3 linked regions of the Rattus norvegicus genome follow. The protein of the gene in region 1 binds, or shares a complex with, the protein of each later gene. Links are inferred from orthologs where the notes say so. Each region holds a gene or a part of one and is shown on either strand. Other genes may lie near its edges. The genes, in order: Nfs1, Lyrm4 and Iscu.

What was found.
Region 2: the proteins of Nfs1 (region 1) and Lyrm4 are in contact, whole or in part, in a crystal structure (PDB 6W1D), measured with the Homo sapiens proteins. The link is inferred for Rattus norvegicus from reciprocal best matches to the Homo sapiens genes NFS1 and LYRM4. Residues at the interface, in NP_066923.3 of Homo sapiens: Leu56, Arg57, Pro58, Leu59, Pro68, Leu69, Pro71, Arg72, Leu74, Asp75, Leu78, Glu314, Tyr317, Arg321, Asp372, Arg412, Phe413, Thr414, Thr415, Glu417, Glu418, Tyr421; in NP_065141.3 of Homo sapiens: Phe23, Tyr26, Asn27, Tyr28, Thr30, Tyr31, Arg34, Arg35, Asp38, Val65, Arg68, Gln69, Ile72, Thr78, Asp79, Lys80, Leu81, Ile82, Ile83, Asn85.
Region 3: the proteins of Nfs1 (region 1) and Iscu are in contact, whole or in part, in a crystal structure (PDB 6W1D), measured with the Homo sapiens proteins. The link is inferred for Rattus norvegicus from reciprocal best matches to the Homo sapiens genes NFS1 and ISCU. Residues at the interface, in NP_066923.3 of Homo sapiens: Tyr360, Val361, Glu362, Glu364, Ser365, Leu367, Met368, Ala369, Lys371, Glu399, Asp400, His403, Ser404, His429, Arg432, Leu433, Glu435, Met436, Ser437, Pro438, Leu439, Glu441, Met442, Trp454, Thr455; in NP_998760.1 of Homo sapiens: Tyr35, Val40, His42, Tyr43, Glu44, Val49, Gly50, Ser51, Leu63, Val64, Gly65, Ala66, Pro67, Ala68, Cys69, Gly70, Val72, Lys74, Phe90, Lys91, Thr92, Phe93, Gly94, Cys95, Gly96, Ile99, Lys135.

The regions. Positions count from the first base shown.
Region 1 is NC_086021.1:165,096,836-165,099,907, forward strand, and holds the end of Nfs1 (cysteine desulfurase), read right to left. Parts: coding exon 3,064-3,072; intron 2,188-3,063; coding exon 2,098-2,187; intron 1,233-2,097; coding exon 1,169-1,232; 3' UTR 555-1,168; downstream 1-554.
Region 2 is NC_086035.1:28,968,815-28,972,465, reverse strand, and holds part of Lyrm4 (LYR motif-containing protein 4), read right to left. Parts: intron 2,039-3,651; coding exon 1,918-2,038; intron 1-1,917.
Region 3 is NC_086030.1:48,512,237-48,515,732, reverse strand, and holds the end of Iscu (iron-sulfur cluster assembly enzyme ISCU), read left to right. Parts: intron 1-1,536; coding exon 1,537-1,615; intron 1,616-2,416; coding exon 2,417-2,502; 3' UTR 2,503-2,881; downstream 2,882-3,496.

The sequences.
Region 1 (3,072 bases):
AGCTGAATGGGAAGCTCACTGGCATGGCCTTCCATGTTCCTAACCCCAATGTATCTCTTGTGGATTTGACATACCGCCTGGAGAAACCTGCCAAGTATGATGACATCAAGAAGGCAGTGAAGCAGGCATCCAAGAGCCCACTAAAGGGCATCCTGGGCTACTCCTGCAACTTCAACAGCAACTCCCACTCTTCCACCTTTGATGCTGGGGCTGGCGTTGCTCTCAATGACAACTCTATAAAGCTCATTTCCTGGTATGACAATGAATATGGCTATAGCAACAGGGTGATGGACCTCATGGCCTAATGGCCTCCAAGGAATAAGAAACCCTGGACCACCCACCCCAGCCCAGCAAGGACACTGGGAGCAAGAGAGAGGCCCTCAGTTGCTGAGGAGTCCCCGTCCCAACTCAGCCCCCAACACTGAGCATCTCCCTCACAATTCCATCCCGGACCCCATAATAACAGGAGAGGCCTAGGGAGCCCTCCCTTCTCTCTTGAATCCCATCAATAAAGTTCGCTGCACCCATCCCACCCCCAAAAAAAACTTACAGAATAAGAGGGGAAATGGAATTTATTTCTCCAATCTTCAAATCAACAAAGTTTAATGAACTAAGCAAATTATTAGAATAATGGGTGGAGTCATGGATATTTCTACATTAAATCAAAATACAGAAAAGAAGCTGAGACCCCAAAGGAAACGAGACTTTAATACAACTTGCTATTGATATAAAAGATGTCTTTTGAAGCCACAAAAAAGGTTAAAAGAAAGATTGTTTATGCCTGTCCCTAATGGCGCCAGTCCAGCTGAGCAGCAAGAGTGAAGATTCACAGAGAAGCAGTCTTTGAACCTAGAGCCTTCTTCTAGTTCCTTCATCTGCCCACGGGTAGGTAGTCCCCGTGGCAGTAACACAGCAGTGCCTACAGGTCCTCAGGTAAGAATGGCCACACTAGACAGCGGAGAAGAGCTCCTGAGGAGAATAGGGAACGTGTCTACAGAGGAGCTGAGGCTAGCAAAGATCCTCCCTTCAAGTTCTCACTTGAAAACATTCTGTGGTGAAGCCACTGAAGAACTTCCAATCTGACTTGAGCATGTAATGAGGTTCCTGGCTGTGCATGGGTCGGAGAGGCCAGAGCAGCCAGGCCAGCACGAAGTCACAGTCCACTCTTCTAATGCTGGGTCCACTTGATGCTCTTGAGGTCAATGCCATCCTGCACCATCTCCCAGAGAGGACTGCCAAAGAAAAGAAGCACTGAGTGAGTGAGATTTAGACAGAAAGCAGCAGATCACACTGCCTCTCAGGCCTGAAGAATCATTTGCCTCCTGTCCTTGTTGCTTCTCTGCCTTACCCTGGTACGGCAATATAAGAGAACCCCAATATAAGAGACAAACAAGTCTTTTCTAGTTTTTATAAGTCCTGCTCCATCCCAGGTTCTTCAGACCTTCCAAAATCAGAAAGACTATCTATTGCTTTAACCTGAAAGGATGTCATAGATCGCAGGCCTGAGCACCTGTCCCTCTTATACAAGAAATGCTACTGAGAAGATTGTGGGTAATGACCTTCAACCCAACCTACTTTGTGTGTTGTGGGAGTGATAGCTATGAGAAGTTTTTTTGTTGGCTTTTGCCACTGAAGATGAGACACAGAGCCTCACACACATAAGGCAGTGTCTTCTGCTGAACTGAGCCTGACAGCCAACTACTGAGCTTGGTGCTTTCATGTCCCCGGTCAGTTCTCAACCTTAAAGGACTCACACACAGTCTTCCTGCTGCATCCTGGGGGCCATAAAGTCAGGCATGTACATGATCTATGGTTTGAGGTTTTTGTCTCCTACGTAGGCACTCTACCACTGACCTTTACCTTAGCCTCCCATTGGTTTTTTGCAGGGCTGGGGATCAAACCTTTACTGTATAAGCAACCTGGTTTTGCAAACAGATTCTGAAGAACAAGAGGCCGAGGAGGTCTCCTTCCTTGCTCTGTGGAATCTTTACATCCTACAAACCCTTTTCCCTTGGGTTTCTGGCAGTATGAACAGAGTCTAATGATGAGAAAGGAATCAGCAGTATGGCGTCTCCCAGAGCCCAGGCAGGCGCACACCTCATTTCTCGAAGACGTTTCACATGGTGGATGCACTTCTGCACGGTGTAGTCTACCTCCTCCTCTGTAGTGAAGCGGCCGATGCCGAACCTGAGAGAACAGAGAAGGTCTCACACCTGGCTGCAGGTTTGCCTTTTGGTCGTGTTGACCAATACTCACTGAGGACTCACTAAGTAAAGACAAAGGGAGGGCTGGAGTTCCTGCTTAGCATGCATGAAGTCCCGGGCTCAATCCCTGACTGGACTGGTGGTGCTCCTCCAGTCCTCGGGAGGTAGAGGCAGAGTAAGCAAGGTCATTCTCTGGCTACAGAGTCAGTTGGAAGCCAACCAGGTGTATGAAAGCTACCAGAGCAAAAGAGGAAAATAGGAGATGGTAGGCCCACCTCTCTAGGTAAAGGTTTCTGAGAACACAGCTTGAGAATGAGAAGCCACTGACACGTTCCCTACATCTACTCGAGAGCTCATGGGCAGAGGATCTGAGCACAGGACTTAGACATCCTCATCTTCACCAAGATTCAAGAAGGGGCAGGGGCACAGCTCAGCACAAGTGTGCTTGCCTACCATGTACCATTCCCCCAAACTGCATAGACCAGCATAGTGAGCACGCTCCTGCAACCTCAGCAGTCTGGAGCAAAGGCAGGACAGAGTTTAAGACTAGCCTGTGAATTTCTGACAAGACCTTAACAAATCAGGAGCAAAGCCACACCCACTCACACCCCACCACATACACCCACCCCAACACAGTCAGTCACCCAAACACACCCACACACACACTCACACACAAATGCCCATATTCACACACACAGACATACAGAAAGTCATTTCCCATACTCATACACACACTCACAGTCATACACATAAACATCTACTCACACATACACAAAAACAAATGCACATCACACACATTCTCACACACATACTCATATACATACACTCACATACATACACCATGCATGAACTCACTGACCTGATAGAG
Region 2 (3,651 bases), on another chromosome or scaffold:
GGTAAGTGTGGCACTTGGATTTGAAGACTTGATGGGAGAGGACAAACAGGAATCAGCGGGTTGCTCAGGTATAACTCAGGTTGCTAAGTTTTCCAGTGCAGTGAGAGTACTGCCTTAGTCAGGCCTGTCTGACATGGAAACCTGTGGCTCTACTAAGTTACTATGGAAACCCTGGCCTAGAAAGGAGGCAGTGTGCATCCCTCATGAGGAAAGTGCGGTCACTGGGCTGTCCTGAGGCAGACACCTTGAGGCAGGTCCACTGCTCCTGATGTTCCGGCCTGTTCTCAGTGTATGTTCACTGGGAAGTTGGCAGAAGGCCACGGTCTGTCTGGTCTTTGTATTTTTTGGTTTGTTTTCTCTTTCTAGTTTTGGGGATAGACTTAAAGGGCCTTGTGCACAGTGCGCAACTGTCCTATCATGAAGCCATGACCTTAATCCTGGCTTATCTTTTGAGAGTAGTTTCAGCATTTCAAACCAAGAGGCTACTGTACAGGCATTCACAGATGACATGAGAGATGGTGGAGGAGATTACTTACAGGTTGTGTTTCTAATACAGTTTGTATTCTGATCATGCTTGTTGACCTCTACACAGAGAAACGTGCAGAAGAACCGATTTATTTTTCTGTGTTTATATAATGCACAGACCTAAGCTGCTTATTTTCCTAAGTTCTACTGCTAGAGGATTCCATGAAATGATCCACCCACTGGAGCCTGGAAAGTGCCATTGGCCTCAAGTTTTCCAAGTGACTCATGTACCTACAGCTCTCAAGTATATGCAAATGTGTGGATTGGCCTTTCCCTGGTGACCTTTTCCTGTCAGGCTTTTAGCTGATGATCATTTCCTAGGCATGTGAATGTGGCTGGCTGGATAGTCTCTCTCTAGATAACTGCAGAACTCAGAGGATTCTTCGTCTTGATGCTACTCTGGAAAAAAGAGTGCTCCACTATGTAAGCAATGGAAACAGACTGAATCTTGACATAAAATGCAAATTTCATTTTTAATACCATTTTCTTGTTTAGCTTCTATTTTGAGACAACTGTGAAAAGCAGCGGGGAAGACTGGATGTGGTGAGATGTTGGCAAGCAGGCATCTTCTTAGGGGGAACCAACAAAGCCCGCACCAGAACACAACAGAACTTTGGAAATGTTCACCCTCCACACTTCATAAACAAATTTGCTATAAGAGTGAAAACAGATGAATAAAGAAATGGAGCTATGCCAATTTGAAGAAAAGAGAAATGGGAAGTTCAGGGCAGAAATTCAATCAATAGAAAACTACATTAGTCTTTGACACTTCAATTATCCAGAAGTCAGACACTACAGTGTTGCACTAGCCAGGAGACCATGCTACATACAGGTGAGGCTCACCTTACAGAGGTCAGGAAAAACAAGCCGGAGTCAGGGTGATGTGGAATAAAATGAAAAACACCCCTCAGCTCCACTGTGGGCCAGCATGTAATCAGATATGCTCTGCACCCTGTGCCTAAAAACACACCAGTCACATGGTAACATACATGCTTATAACCCACTCTACTCATCTTATATTCTGATGACAAATGTTAGTAAAGGAAGGATATATTTATGCTTTGGTATATGCCACATAGCCATGTACAGAACATCATAAAAACACTTGGATTAAGACACACTGAAACCATGAACTTCAGTAAAGCCTGAGAGCTCAGTTTCTTAGAAGAACCAGGCCCCAGAAGTCCCAGAAAGCTTGTATTTTCCTGCAGAATGCCCTTGAATCTGGCGATAGGACAGTTTATCTCTGTATGTCTGCATTAGGAAAGAGGACAGTGCCTCGCCATCCTGCGGTGTAAATCACAAACACCAAAGCAGTGATGTCCGATCACAGAGGGAATGTCACAGCTGAAGACGAATAATGAAGAGCAGTCTGTCACTGAGCCATCTTACCTGTCTGCGGATTATTTCAAGGTCTCTTTTGGCTTTATTCACCAGGGCTTGAATTTCTACGGGGTCTTTTACATTCTTATTTTCTCGGAAGGCATCTCTTATTCTCCTGACAGCATACATTCTAATGAATTCAGAGAAAAAAGAAAAGATGTCAGCAAGTATGAGATTCTGCCTTTAAATGAATTTAAAAGATTTTTTTCTCTAGAATTAACGGCTGAATATTCTCCTACAGATAACCCAGTTTGATCTTTGCTTGTCGATTCGAGGATGGCTAAGCAAGCAGATCTAGGAAAACAAGGCACACACAAATGGCAAACTGCTCCTTAGATCACTGGCTCTTCAGAGTTCTGCACGTCTGATTTCCCTTCATTAGCAATTAGCAATTTCCCTTCATTAGCAAGGGTAATTAACCTTTGCTATGAAGAGGCAAACCACGAATGGAGACAAATGATGCACTTCATATGCACGCACGAGGACAGTGATGAGCCTTTTCATTCCTGCCCGTTAGATGACAACTGGGTAAGCAGGTCCACGGCATCTCTGGTGTACTTTTTTAGGACACACTGTCACCTTCATGGCACCAGGCATTTTAATTCTACTTTTTCTAGACAGGGTCTTGCCATCTAGGCCAGGGTGGTATATAGCTTGCAATCTTCCTGCCTTAGCCTGAGAAATACTGGGATTATAGGCATGAATTACCATTCTTTCCTTAATTATAATATATTCATATTCTCTCTCTCTCTCTCTCTCTCTCTCATTTCGTTTTTTTTTTCAAGAGCTCTGTGTAGCTCTGGTTATACTGGAACTCCCTGTGCAGACCAGGCTGGCCTTAAACTCAAGAGGTTTATCTACCTCTGCCTTCTGAATGCTGGCATTAAAGGTGAGTGCCATCACCACCTGGCTTAATTCTAATATTTTCATCTACTTGTAAACTGGTTTTATAACAAGATCTTGTGGCTGGAGCTCTAAACCAGGCAAAATGTGTGCCTGACTACTGAGCTCTGCCCATACCCTCAACCACTGCTTTAATTCTTCAACTGGGATTCAGCAAAGCTTTTGCAAGAACATCACAACCTAAGAAGTCATCAATACCCTGATTTTTTTTTTTTTTAAGTAACAGGTAAGTGGTTCAGAACACCTAAAAGGAGAAAGAACATTTCACAGGATGGAAATAAATGTAAAGTTCCCCAAAGTTTAAGAACACCAGAGAGTTTCTTAAAATGTTCTACAACTCAAACCAACTTAGCTCAACGTCACGTTCAGAATACTTGGCTCTACACTTTAAAACCTCAGCTTCCCAAAGCCTGCATCTCAGAAGTTTAGCATATATCTCAGAGTTAGATCCACGTCAGCTGGACAGCAGGCGCAGTAGGTAAGGGCGTTTGTTGCTTCAGCATGGCGATCTGAGCTCATTCCTGGAATCCACATAAAGTTGAAAGACAACCAGTTCCACTCTGTTGTCCTCTGCCCTCCATACATGAACTGTGGGATTTGTATGTTACCCTCCCCGAGACAAACATGGGCCCACACACATGCACACCCAAATACAAAGTCAGAAATCTCATTTCAATTTCTAGACATTCCTTTGACATGACAACACCACAGTGTCCTTCTATCCCCCACACCCCCTTTGGCACAGGGTACTACTGGCCTTAAGAGGAGACTCCACTGGCTCAGAACCACAAAGGTGTTTTAGCCTGGGTAGTTTCTTTCCCAGTTATGCCACTCTACTTT
Region 3 (3,496 bases), on another chromosome or scaffold:
GAAGCTAAGGAGCATTTAAAGAAAAAAAAAAAAGACCCAGTAGCTGTGAAACTACCCACACCAGCACAAGGTGGTGGCACACGGCACACCAACCTGTAATCCCAGCTCATAGAAGGAAGGGGCAATTTTTTTTTTTTTTATCTTTATTAACTTGAGTATTTCTTATTTACATTTCAATTGTTTTTCCCCTTCCCGGTTTCCAGGCCAACATCCCCCTAACCCCTCCCCCTTCCCTTCTATATGGGCTTCCCCTCCCCATTACCACCCTCCCCCCAACAATCACGTTCACTGGGGGTTCAGTCTTGGCAGGACCAAGGGCTTCCCCTTCCACTGGTGCTCTTACTAGGCTGTTCATTGCTACCTATGAGGTCAGAGTCCAGGGTCAGTCTATGTATAGTCTTTGGATAGTGGCTTAGTCCCTGGAAGCTCAGGAAGGAGCAATTTAAAGATCGCCCCAGACTGTATGGGACCCTGTCTTAAAGTGGTGTGCTCACCCTTTGCCCCCTCCTGGGGCCCAGTTCAGGAAGCTCAGTCATGGATTGCTGTGCTCAAAACGCCAGCCAGCTCTCTAACAGCCACCTGCTCCTCCAGATTCGGGCATCTGGTTATTGAACTCCTGGAGGCCAGGGAGACCCAGACCTGCTTGTTCTGGGAGAAAATGGCTCAAAGGAAGTTGGTTAAGAAGCAGCTTTGGAGAAAGGGGAAGTGAGATTGGGCACCTGCTCCCAGGACCTGGCCTTTCAGGGCTCTGAACTGTATGGTCAGACAGTAGGAAGACCTTCTCTAACCTCGAGGTTCCCGTCTGAAGGAGACTAGCTTTTCTTTTTTTTTTTTTCTTTTTTTTTTTTTTTTTTTTTTTTTTTTCCCTTTTTCTTTTTTTCGGAGCTGGGGACCGAACCCTCAGTACTGACCTTCACGGGTGGGTGTGGGAGGAGGTGAACAGACAGACAGACTGCCAGCGGCCATTCTTGGTTTACGACTGAGCTCAGCCATCACCTTTGACGGCCAGCCCACACTCCCTGGGACCTGATCTCTGTCCACAGTGCCCCCTCTGTCCCAGCCAGGAAGGCAGGACCGTCCCAGTCGGTGTAGCAGGCGCACACTCTTGGGTCTTTCTGATTCTAGTTCCCTCCAGCTTACAAAGCTTGCCAGCTTACTTGCGTTTGCTAGGCAAGCGCTCTACCACTGAGCTAAATCCCCAACCCCGAGACTGGCTTTTCTTAATGCATAAGCAGGCCTCTCTGCCTCTCATCCCTCACAGCTCTCAGACCCAGGCCTCCTCAGGCAGACATTGCATAGCAGCCTAGGCAATGCCTGCCTTCAAGGGGCAGCAGGTCTTGTTCTTGCTTACCCAGCCAGGCAGCGCAGGTGTGTGTCCCCCCACTACAGATCCCTTGGTATACAGTGGCAGTCCTGCCCAACAGTGTTGAGTTACTTAGCAGGAGTTTTCCCAGACAGCCTGTCCTGAGGTGTGTTCTGCCCACCCTCAGCAAGGTCAAGTTCACTGAAACTGCACTTTCCTCCCTAACATTTCAGGTGGAGGAAGCCCTGACCATCAAAAACACAGACATCGCCAAGGAACTCTGCCTCCCGCCTGTGAAACTGCATTGCTCCAGTGAGTGCCCCGCATAACAGGCAGCTCGGGTCTGCTCAGAGTGCGCTGTGCCCGCCACCCCACACTCTGTGCCTCCCCAGTCTGTCTGCAATGCCTGGGGCCGTGGTACACTCACTGCACTGTCCCACAAGAAGCCTTGCACCTCAGAGCCTGCAGTCAGATCTGACACCTTCCTGTCCTCTTAAGCCTCCCCAAGAAAGCAGGAACGCAACATCACCCTAACATACTAGGCTTTCTGCCACCTTCCAGCTTCTCACCCACACCCCACCCTGTAACCTCACCCTCAGTACTGACCTTCACGGGTGGGTGTGGGAGGAGGTGAACAGACAGACAGACTGCCAGCGGCCATTCTTGGTTTACGACTGAGCTCAGCCATCACCTTTGACGGCCAGCCCACACTCCCTGGGACCTGATCTCTGTCCACAGTGCCCCCTCTGTCCCAGCCAGGAAGGCAGGACCGTCCCAGTCGGTGTAGCAGGCGCACACTCTTGGGTCTTTCTGATTCTAGTTCCCTCCAGCTTACAAAGCTTCTCTTCCTTCACCACCTCCCAGCAGGGAGATGGCCACCCAACCTGAGTTAGAACTTCTAAACCCACCCCCCAAAGTTGTCCTGTGACCACCACACGTGCCAGGCACATCCACCCATCACATACATGTACAGGCGCATGCATATATATTCTAAATAGATACATATTTATAACAACACACAAATATGCCATGATGTGTGTATAACTATAAAATGTGGAGACCACCCCTCCAGTGTCTAGAAATTAAAGCTGTCTACCTTTCCGTGCCTTCCAGTGCTGGCAGAAGATGCCATCAAGGCTGCCCTGGCTGATTACAAACTGAAACAAGAGGCCAAGAAGGACGAGCCGGAGAAGCAGTGAGCCCTGAGGACGCTCCAGCCGCTCACAGCAGGCCTCCTGCCACCCTGCACATCAGAGAAGCTACGCAAAACGCACACTACTCACTGTTTGCACTATGGCTCTGATACAAGCAAAATGTGCCGTTGATTACGCCTAATCCTGTGTTCCTTTCAGCTCACGTGTGTCCTTAGTGCAGTTGATGTCTTGATTGAGTTTGTGACCTGGGACTGAAATCAGCACCAAAGTCTTAAGCTCTGGAGAGTGACAGGGAGTTGTACCCAAGCTGCGGGGAGACGGCCAGCAGAGCACCTTGTGCTGGCTCTGATAGGATCTATCACTGTGTGTTTAGCAGATCTGCGTGTATATTATAATAAAAAATGGAAGACGATGGTTTTCTCTACTGAACCTGATTCTCGACTCCCTAACCCACCCCTAGTGCAGCCAAGCGCCTCAGGGTTCCCAAGGCCAGACTGCAGTGGGTGACAGCAACAGCCACTTAGCTTCTTTTGAAAGGCTGGAGGGGACGGCTGGTGTTCTTTATGCTGGGAAGCATGGTCAATTCACAAGGACTCTGAGCAAGCGTTCCTGCAATAATCCATTGGTCCGTGAAAGTCAGAAAGTAACCCCAGAAGCTGGCCCCTAAGCCTGTGGACCAATCAGGAAAAGCATTGGGAGATTACACCGTTGTACTCTAGGCCCAGGCCTCCAGCCTTCTTCTGGCAAATGGTTCTAACCTCCCAAGGCCTCCCAGGCTTTGTGTGGTGGACAGTGAACTGAAGCTGACTGGAGAAGCTCATCCGGTGCGAGTGTGTGTTTCTCACGTTCAACTGAAACAAGTACATGCACTGCCGTAGCCCTCAGTTCCAGATACACACACTGACTCCAACATTGGTAGCAGCTGCTCCTCCCCTGAGCTGCCCAGTTATGTAGCTCAGGGAAGGGCCCAGTTTTCCAGTCTTGGCATTGGGAGATGCAGCGAACTTCAAAAGCAAACTGTTTTCTGATGGTGGCTTTC